Arabidopsis thaliana: one gene and its partner. The protein of the gene in region 2 interacts with the protein of the main gene of each other region in a pairwise test. Each region holds a gene or a part of one and is shown on either strand. Other genes may lie near its edges.

Region 1 (5,781 bases), on a different chromosome or scaffold from region 2:
GAACATGTTTCACGGTTCAATGAACGCAAATAGAAGCGTGACATGGGTTGATTGGTCCATAGGCGGTCCCCATCCAGCTACATATGCTGCAGCTAATATCACAGAAGGGTTTCTCCAATCTATAAGGAAAAACGAGACGGATTGTCTTTACAATGAAGAGCCAACTTCGTTATGCTTCCTTTTTGCTCGCAAGTTCTCTCCTTCTGCCTTAGCTCCTCTTATGAATTTGAGCTCTACTGTCCTGGGGTTTTGAGAAAAAACAAACTGATTCATTTCTCCTCTTCTTTCTTCTTTTATAGGGATGAGATGAGATTCTTCTACGAGATATATAATATACATAACATAGGACTCTTTTTCTTTCTTATATAGTTTTATTCTTTTGGTTATAATCTCTTCATTATTTGGGGTTTTATAGAGATGATCGTAATGGTCAAGCCTTTTGTATGTAAGAGTTTTGCTTCTGCCGACCTGCAGAGCTAATCTAGTTGTAGATTTACGAATATATTATTCATTTTGATCACTTTTTGGAAGAAATGGAATTTAATGTTTTGATCGAATTACTGATTTTGAATTCCATTACTCTTTAGAAGCCATTGGCTTCAAAAGAACCATACATACAAGTGAAGAAGCAAGGGCAACGAACGTAGTAGATTATGATGTTGATCCTAAAGAAATAACTACTAGAGTTTGCAAAAAATAGGAACCACAAAGCAAAAGCCAAATTAACTATGAGGAGAATGGTGGTGCAGAAGAAATAGCGAGTTTGTCAAACTAGTTCCTCAACTCCACTACCTTTTTTTCTTGTGTCTCTTGGCACTCATGGGAAGGCCCTGGCTCCTGTTGTTGAGGAAGATGACTGTCCACAGAGTTTGACCACGGTGTCTGATTAGCCACCTCTCCTGGCACGGGATTTAACCACTGTGACTGCTGATGGCTAGCTGTCTGATTAGACCACTGTTGCTGCGCTGTCCACCCTGACTGCTGGCCAGCTGTCTGGTTAGCCCACTGCTGTTGCTGGCCGGTTGTCTGATTTCCCCACCCTTGTTGCTGGCCGGTTGTCTGATTAGCCCATGGTTGCTGCTGGCTAGGAGTCTGATTAGCCCATGATTGCTGATGACCAGTGTTCTGATTAGCCCACGGTTGCTGGTGACCATTATTCTGATTAGCCCATTGTTGCTGCTGGCCAGGCGTTTGATTAGCCCACTGTTGCTGCTGGCCAGGCGTCTGATTAGCCAATTGTTGCTGCTGACCAGGCGTTTGATTAGCCCACTGTTGCTGCTGACCAGGCGTCTGATTAGCCCAAGGTTGCTGCTGGCCAGCTGTCTGATTAGTCCATGATTGCTGATGACCTGAAGGACTTGACCACCCCGATTGCTGAGACCAAGATTGCTGCTGTTGATATCCCGGTGCCTGTCTCGACCATGACGGTGGCTGTTGCCCTGCCGTCTGATTCGACCACGATTGTTGCTGCTGGTTATCAGACGTGTTGGACCAAGAGGGATTCTGGCCATTATTAGCCTTGTAAGCTCCTCCTGCTGTTTGACCTGCAGTTCCATTGGCCCAACCTGAATTGGAATGCACCACTCCTTGGCTCGTCCATGGGGCCCTGTCTCTAGGCTGCTGCGGAGCTGCAGGTGTGGTTCCAAACACTGCGGGTACCCTAGGTGGAGTGTTACCAGACTGCCCAGCGTTTCTAACCGGCCGGGCAACAGAGTTCAAAATTTTCTCAATCTCCTCACGACGTCCTGCCTTCTCAAAAACCTCAATGATGAATTCCCGCAGCACAGTAGTAACCCCAACATTATGTCTAATCATCTCACCAACAATGTCCTTGGCTTGGTCAAGTGCATCACCATCACAAAGACCTCTAACCACCACATCATAAATGGAAGGATCTGGTTTTGGTTCCCTCTCTCCCATCTTAGTCAAAACTTCTGCAGATTCCGTGAGCTTACCATTCTTAATCAGCTCACCAAAGACTCTTGCACCGAAATCAGCAACCACCCGTAGATTCACATCAACCATCCTGTCCAACATCTTGACAGCATCGTCAATTCTCTCTGCCTTGAGATAAGCATCGATCATTGCTCTATGACTTGGAGCATCAGCAGGCAAAGATCTAGATACACCTTCAGCAAAGAACCTTTCAGCTTCTGTTAACATCCCTTGTTCACAGAATCTTGTTACTATGTTACAGTAACCTAAATAATCCATCACAAACGGTTTGGAGGTGACCTTACTTCCGACCTTCTTGAATGTATTAATAGCTTCACTAAACTCTCCCATCTTGAAACATTCATTGACCATTATACCAACCGTATCCGAATTCACCGAAAGGATATTCGGAGGAGCGTGATTATCCAACATCTCATTAAACAAAGCCCAAGCTTCATCCTTCTTACCAAACTTAAGAAACACTTCCAAAAGTACATTACCAGTCGGTGGATGCATTCTGAATTTCTTATCTAACAAAGACCTGTAAGACTCCATAGCTTCCTTATCGTTCCCTTTCTCAAACCAGTACTCCATAAAGGTAGCATTCACAATCCCATCATAAACAGTACACTTAGACTTCAATTCATCAAAGAACTCAACAGCCTTATCGAAATCACCAAGGTCCAAATATCCCCTAATCAGATTGTTGTACACCGTGGAATCCGCAGCTTGACCTTTGCTCAACATCTCCCTTAATAAACTCGCAGCATCTCCGATCCTTCCAGCTTGAACCAAACCTTTGGTCAAATGTCTATAAGTAACTGAGGATGGAGCAAAAGGAGCATTAGCCAATATGTGTCTGTACACTTCAAGGGCTTCGTCGACATTCCCTTCATCACAATGAGCGTTGATGATCTGATTGTATGAGACTACATTGGGGACGATGTTAGACTGCTTAAAGAAATACTGAAATAGAGAAATCGATTCACTGTAACGCTTGGCTCGGTACATAGCGGCGATGATGGCGTTACAGGTGAAGACAGTAGGTCGAGTATTGGAAAACACAGACTGGCGAGCGAGCTTTGATGCAGCGTCGAGATCTGATGCTCTGATCAGTGATTGGACTCTGTTGTGAAGGTTAAGCCTTTGGCCGACGAGAGCGGAAGTTGAATCCGGAAGCCGTGGCGCGTTGGGATCACGTTTTGGAGGAGGAGCTGAAGGATCGCGACGGAGAGCGTGGAGAGGAGGTTCAATTCGGAGACGACGTTTACGGCGGCGGCGCTCAGCAGCGGCTTCTTCGGCTGAAGAGAAGGCCATGGTACGATGCGGGATGGGTGGATAGGGAATTGGAGGGGTGTGATTCTGAGGAATCTGGAATTGGGAAGGATCATTTGGAATGGGATTAAGGTTTGGGTATTTCTCTGAATCCTGATTATTACCAGTGGTCGTCTCCGGATCTTCATTTGCCGGGGAAAGTGAGATGTTGTGGATGCGTTGGTGGAGGAACGAGATGGAAAGAGGGCTACGGGTAGTGGTAGTGGTTGTACAGAGACGGCGGAGGAGGTGACTGAGAGACATGGTGGAGGGAAAATGATTTAGGGTTTTAGAGGTTAGAGGAAGACGAAACCAATGACGATGGTGGGAGTAGAGAGAGCGAGCTCGTGGCTTAAACCCTTGGATGTGAAGAAATGGGACTTTTATTAAAAAGTAATGTCGAAATGAAAATTAAAGGACGACGTCGTAGTGTTTAAATGAGGGCTGTTTGGTAATACGTGTAATGTTATTCCAAAGACAAGTAAAGAAAGGTTGGATTATTTAGGGCTTCTCCTTCAAAGGCCCAAACGATATTAACAGACCATAATACGTGTCTCAAATAATCCATAGCTGGTGAGATGCCAACCACTAAGCATGCACTCTGCATATGGATGGTTGTTGGAAAGTTTCCATCCTAGTGAGGAAATATCACTTGAAGAAGTCGAGAAATTTTGCCATGCATGTCGTGGTTTGTGTGAGTGCAAAACTAGCGTGGGTTCTGATGATACAATAAAGGTGTGATCGTGGGGTTTAAAATTTAGGACCATAATAGGCTTTTTGTGAAAATTGCAGATATGGGTCCGGGAAGTAAATAACAGTTTTGGAAAAGTTCCAGTATCTTTATGAAAAACTCGGCATCACATTCAAACTCGGTATTGACTCATATTCAAAACGAGTCCATAATAAAGAAAAAAATCAAACTTTCTTGAAACTGAAACTTTATACGAAAATGTTCGAACTGCATGCATACTAGTTTTTGAAGAAAGATCATTAACAGTATTAAAGATATATGTGAAATTTTATATGAAAAGATGCTCATATAACGTGAAAACAGGAATTTGTTGAACTTTACATGGAACAAATCATGATTTACTTCTTGTTCATCTTCTTCTTAAACATCTCCATGCCCCATATTTTGACAGCCTCAAAGCCCTATGTTATATAAAGAGGGAAAATCTTTGCAATATCCTTGGCGTTATCTTCGTTTTTCATCTTGATGAGATCGGTGTTTGGGGTGACCTTCTTCTTCTTCTCTTCCACGGTAGTGATTGCTTCTCGACAAAAAGACTTCAGCGAAATGAACTAGAACAACTTGGAAGATCCTTTGTGAACTGTTTTCGTCGTGGTGATCTGGGTAACGACAAGAGAATCTTAATCGCTTGAAACCATTTTTTTGTGGAGAAAAGTTTATCAGGAAAAGAAACAAGAAGGGATTGATCATACGATATGTAACGATATATATAATGATATTAAAGGGGTAAGACCATGTACATAGCTGATATAATCAGAGTATCAGAAGCCCATCAATAATTGTTTAATGGATCAGAGTATACAGTTGGACCTGATCAGAGTGGAATGATACTTCTAATACCCAGTATCGAGTGACGTGACGGCAACTGATTCGTCAGGAAAAAACAGAGAAAAAAAAAATTCTAAAAAATCACATATACCCATACTTTATGAGTATCATCTATAACCATAAAAGATCATTAAAAATCATTGAAAAAATTTAAATAATAAATAATACTAAAAAATGTTTAATAATACTTTATGAGTATCACTTATAACCATGCTCTAAATTTATACTCGTGAACATATTAAACGGGCCTCATCTGGCCCGGCCCATAATTTGTTGGCTAGGCATAGGGAAGCGTTTTGGCCTTTTTTTCCAAAAACAATTTTTGCTTTGATGAAATTAAAACTATTAATACACAAAAAAAAAATGTTCACTTTTACTTTTAGGCGATGGCGAGAGGATGTCAGTAATTGGGTTACTGAATCGGAATACTGTTATTGGAGTCGTTCGTTGTGTTTTTACGGTCAATTTGGTTCTATTCAGATATGGTTATCTCCGGTTTTGGATTTGAAATCTCAGATACAGCGGCGGATTCACAGAGTTCCCCGAGTGCTGCTGCGACTGATGGTTTTGGAGCCGATTTCCTAGCATGTATGAATATGTCCTGGGACAAGTTCGAGACGGACAAATAAACGAGACCATATGTTTGCTGCAGCTGACAAGTCTCACTCAGCTTTCTTGTTGATTGATGAGATATAAGAGCAGATGGGATTAGCTGGATATGTGCAGGAAACTGAGATGGTATGCATATAAGTTAAACAAATCGTTGGAGCATATAAGCAGACACAAACAATCAGTTGTAGCCGCAGAGGCATTCCTTTGCTCATTGTGAGATTTGGCAGATCTGGAGCACTAACCATTCGTAGTCTATTGACAATCACACCTGATTCTTATCCCAGGTGATTTTGCTACAATTGTGGGAAGTTTGGACATTATGCTTCTGAATGTAAAGCTCC
Region 2 (4,514 bases):
CCCGTGATTTTCCCTCCAAAAACGTAAATCCAAGATTTTCCCGCCAAAAACGTAAACCCGTAAAAAGTGGAATCCGTAAATATCATAAGTTTGATGATAATGAATTAATAATAATTATTATTTATTATTGTTTTATAATAATAATGTTGGTCTGGTATGAGAAGTTATGGGAAAGAGTATATTACAGCATTTTTAATTCGTGAATTTCATACCTGGAGCAACTTGACCTATTGACTCATTTACTCTCAGGTGCACTTAAATAATTTACGGCGAGCGCCTTAGCCTATTACTATTACTCAAAAATGTGGTCGAGAAATGTAAGATAAGGATTCCGGAAGCATTGGAAATTAAGTAGGAGGAAGACATAGAGTAGCCATTACAGTTGAGTGTTTAACACGTAAATAAATTAATTTAATTATTACTTAAATGTGTTAACCCATTTAACAACTCAACTCATCAAATTAAATGAGTTATAGTTTGATCCAATCTATTTAACAAAATGAGTTGGGTCAACCTATAACTCATTTAACTTTAAACTCATTTGATTATGAGTTGAGTTGAGTTGGGTTACCCATTTTGACACTCCTAGGTATCAGCATTAAGAAGAAACAAATATTTTTCATCCACTCACATTTTTTTTTTAAGTATACATATATATATCTAACATGTGGATATATATTATTTTTTTAGATAAATTAATAGAAAAATATTAACTTGGTTTTGTTAGAGTATCTCACTAATATAATATTAAACTTTTCAATATTAGTTTAATATTTTGTTTTTACCTTAATTAATATCAATTAAAATCTTTTTTCCTATATTAACTAACCCATTCTTAACAATGACAACAAAAAAAACGCCAATTACGAGAGAGTTCAACGACTAAAAATAACCCAACATAACAAGGTTCAGGAACACAAGGATCAGTCAGAGGTCGGGAACAAAGACAAGACTGCCACTTTACATGTTGCTATCAAACAAGGCAGTGCCGCTACGGTTAATATATTAGTCTGGTCTAGAAGAAACTTAAACCCTGATCAAACAGGTAAAAAAAGAGCTACGATTTCATCCTTCACGCATATGGGCACCGAGTTCACCAAACTGATCATCGGCTTCTACAGTGTTATCTGAGAGACGGATTGCATCAAGCTTCTGCTTCAGGATATCAATGGCATTTAGTACCAGCTGAGAAGCCTTCAATGCACCTGTGGACTCAACAGTGAATACAAAACTATCATGTTTCGGATGGATCTCAATGAGTCCCGGTTTCCCCATTGCTTCAGCTTTCTTGATCACTTCTTCATCGTAAGTGTATGCTTCAGGATCAACCACCACAACCTAAGAAGCAAAGTATTATAATTACAGTTGTGATGATTCAAACAATAGACTGCAAAAGAAATGAGCTAAACGCACTAAACACTTAAAGAAAATTCATACACCACATCACATACATATATTTCAAAGCATGGTAGCCTATAAAGTAGTACAATCATATTGAAGTCTCAAAGCTATAAACTTGTATAGATGTTATTCTTACAGAACATCGAAATTAACCTGTCCGGTGACTGGGTCAATGCCAAACACTTTGGTAGGACTGCTCTCAATCAAGTCAATTTTTTCCTCATCTGTCAAAGTGTTCATCATCTCTTCATTGATAATAATGTCAGGCTCATACATATACGTAACAGTAGCTGCAGGAGACCATTTCGCATGATCTTTCCCAATTCCTTTCCTAGCTAATGCTTTAAGCTTCAACTCTTGTCCCCTGCGTAGTTTCGCAATGATAATTCCCCTGAAACCAAAACAATAACAGTCTAAGAAACTGCAGAAAAAAAAGCCACAGAACTACCAAAAGGAAGACTCATGCAAAGGGCATCTAAAGATGTCAAATTTTGTTTAGCATTGTGTAATATCTAAGCTTAGCAATTCCAATCAATTCATAAAGAACAAATAATCACTACAATGATGAAAAGGGACTTACTTGTGCTCGCTTGAATCAGAAGTAGATGAGTTACTAGTGAAATCAACAGGAGTAACAGTAGGATCAGCACTGTAGAGATCCCTACTAGTAACATCTAGGGTTTGGTCAGTAACACACTTAGCACTAAGGGGAAACTCAACAGAGCAGAACTCGCAATGTTCATCTCCATTACAATCTTCACAATCTTGACAGAACCGCATGCTCATAGCACGCTCGCTAGTGAGAGGGATGAGACTAAGTCGTTGAGCAATGAACTCGTCGTTGAGAACAGAGGAATTAACCTCGATTTTGACGAGATGGATTGCCATGGTGGGGACTTCGGAGATCATTACGCGACGGAGAGCGTTGGCCATTGAAACGTCGGTTTCACGAAGCTCGAACTTGGCGTAGTCATCTTTAAGCTCACGGATCTTCACCGTTGGGAATCTTTGGTAGGTGACACCGTCCATTTCAAAAGCTGTTCCTTCTGACGACTCTGGGACTCTTAGGGTAATGACTTTTCGATTTCTTCGCCGGAGAAGAAGAAGAAATTTGGAGAGAGCAAAGTGAGTGAGAGTGGAAAAAGGTATAAGAAGAACTATAGTAGTTTAAGTTGGGCCTATATGGGCCTATTCTTTTGTTTACTGGGCATTTTCAGGCTTCTCATAACAGTTATTGGGAATGGTCAAAATGTCTACAATGGATTTTCTGTTTACATCAATTCAAATAATGACCCAATGTTATTTTAAGACTTTTTAATCTTTATAATTTGAATTACATAATAATAATTTTGGAAATACAAATATTAAAAAGAATCGAAATTCCATATTTTTAACAGTAACTTGGATTAAAAACATTATATAAAGAGTAAAAAGGATTAAAAATGCATTGGTTCATAAAGAATAATGGTAAATTTGTTGTTTTAATCTTTATATAGTGTTTTTCCAAAATTATTCTTTCTAATTACAATTAAAATTTTTTTACATAATTAATTTTAATGGTAATTATGTGAATGGTTTCGGACAATGTACAAGTTGTACTCATCATTATTCCGCTTATTTTCATAATTATTCCGCTTATTTTCATTGACACAATTAAATCTTGACCTAAATCTAAAAGATTACATATAATATATTTTATCCAACAGAAAATATAAATTATTTTTAAAAATAGAATTTTAGTGGGTTTTGGGGCTTTAAGTGCACTGATCATGTCTGGTCCAAAATTCTAATATTGCTTTCCTTTTTTATTTTTATTTTGCCAAGAAACCAATTCCGGGTTTAACTTCCTTGTAAAACCATCCTTTTCATATATATGATATTTGCAGTTTAGCCAAAAAAAAAAAGTTGAATTTTAATCAACATTTTTAAGCACGACGGTTTCAACTAGTAGTACCATATCGCGGGTTATACCATTACCGGAATTTATTAGAGATTTTCAAAATTTACCTGATTGAAAATTAGCGGATTGTAGTGTTGGAGCCAAACTGGATTAGTGACTGAGTCATCGGGTTTACCGGGCCAACCGCGGTTCCGCTCGAATCTGAATACATTTCCCTCGTCAAAATAAAAAAAGTCAGAGGACGATTGGTCGATGAGAAAAACATTTAATAAAGGAAAAAAAAATGAAAAAACAAATGGGGCCTTTGGAGCGATGTGATGACGTGGCAACCCCCGGAGACTTTCAAATAGCATATTGAGAGTTTTACATGCATGTGAATATCAAGGGTAACATCTAGAGTCATATGAATTGCGCGTGTTATGTCGTTGTTAGTCGTTCATGTTAACAATAATCTACGTATACCGTTTGTGACTTTTAAAACTAAGTTCATGAACCTATTACATATAGATCAAAATCTGGACCATAATTTTATTGGTGTATTGTTAGAAACTTAAAGTTCATATCACTTTCTCTATGTTTCGTGGCCTACTTGCAATTTTTTAGGAATCTTTTGACCATTAGTTTTTTAAACGAGTTTAGGACTTTGATCACTAAGGTAAATCGTTTAAACAATTTGGGATCACTTAATTATTGACATGATTGTATGTTTTGATTGGGCATGTCAAACAGATCTCAATATTTATGTAATTACAAATTATTGCATATTTCAATACATCAATGTCATGGTCTTCACAACGTGCCTGACAAATCCTAGTTGTTTGGATTCCAAATTGTTAATAATTCACAAGAGCTCTCCCATAGGAAGTTTCTTCGATAATTCTGAATATTATATAATACAAAATCACAATTTGGAGTTTAAAGACTTTTCTTCTATTAAACAAAATAGAGTCACGTTTGGAGTTCGTTGATAGTCACAACTTAACAATGACACATTAGAATATTCAAAGTTTTATCTTATTGATCAGTGATTGACATTAAAAGTTGTAATCAAGTTATATAAGCGTTGTAAACTCTTTTTGAATCATCTTCACAAACTAAAAGTCAACATGTATCATATATTTCAGATCTCCGGCGAAGTTATCAAGGGTTTGGGATTGAAGACGAAAATTCTGATAACCATCGTCTTTAGTACCTTACTAATTTTGTCTGTTAT

What was found. Proteins that work in one complex are often made in the same cells at the same time.
Region 1: the proteins of NRPE3B (region 2) and GRP23 interact in binary tests that used the Arabidopsis thaliana proteins (3 or more experiments, as listed by UniProt).

What each region holds. Positions count from the first base shown.
Region 1 is NC_003070.9:3,361,267-3,367,047, reverse strand, and holds GRP23 (glutamine-rich protein 23), read right to left. Parts: upstream 3,617-5,781; 5' UTR 3,514-3,616; coding exon 772-3,513; 3' UTR 555-771; downstream 1-554. Other genes in the region: AT1G10280 (Core-2/I-branching beta-1,6-N-acetylglucosaminyltransferase family protein), read left to right, coding at 1-253. UniProt on the Arabidopsis thaliana protein: May function as a transcriptional regulator essential for early embryogenesis.
Region 2 is NC_003071.7:6,710,938-6,715,451, reverse strand, and holds NRPE3B (DNA-directed RNA polymerase family protein), read right to left. Parts: upstream 2,558-4,514; 5' UTR 2,431-2,557; coding exon 1,982-2,430; intron 1,793-1,981; coding exon 1,555-1,792; coding exon of another isoform or gene 1,534-1,554; exon of another isoform or gene 1,339-1,533; coding exon 1,066-1,338; 3' UTR 843-1,065; downstream 1-842. Other genes in the region: FUT4 (fucosyltransferase 4), read left to right, coding at 4,408-4,514. UniProt on the Arabidopsis thaliana protein: DNA-dependent RNA polymerase catalyzes the transcription of DNA into RNA using the four ribonucleoside triphosphates as substrates.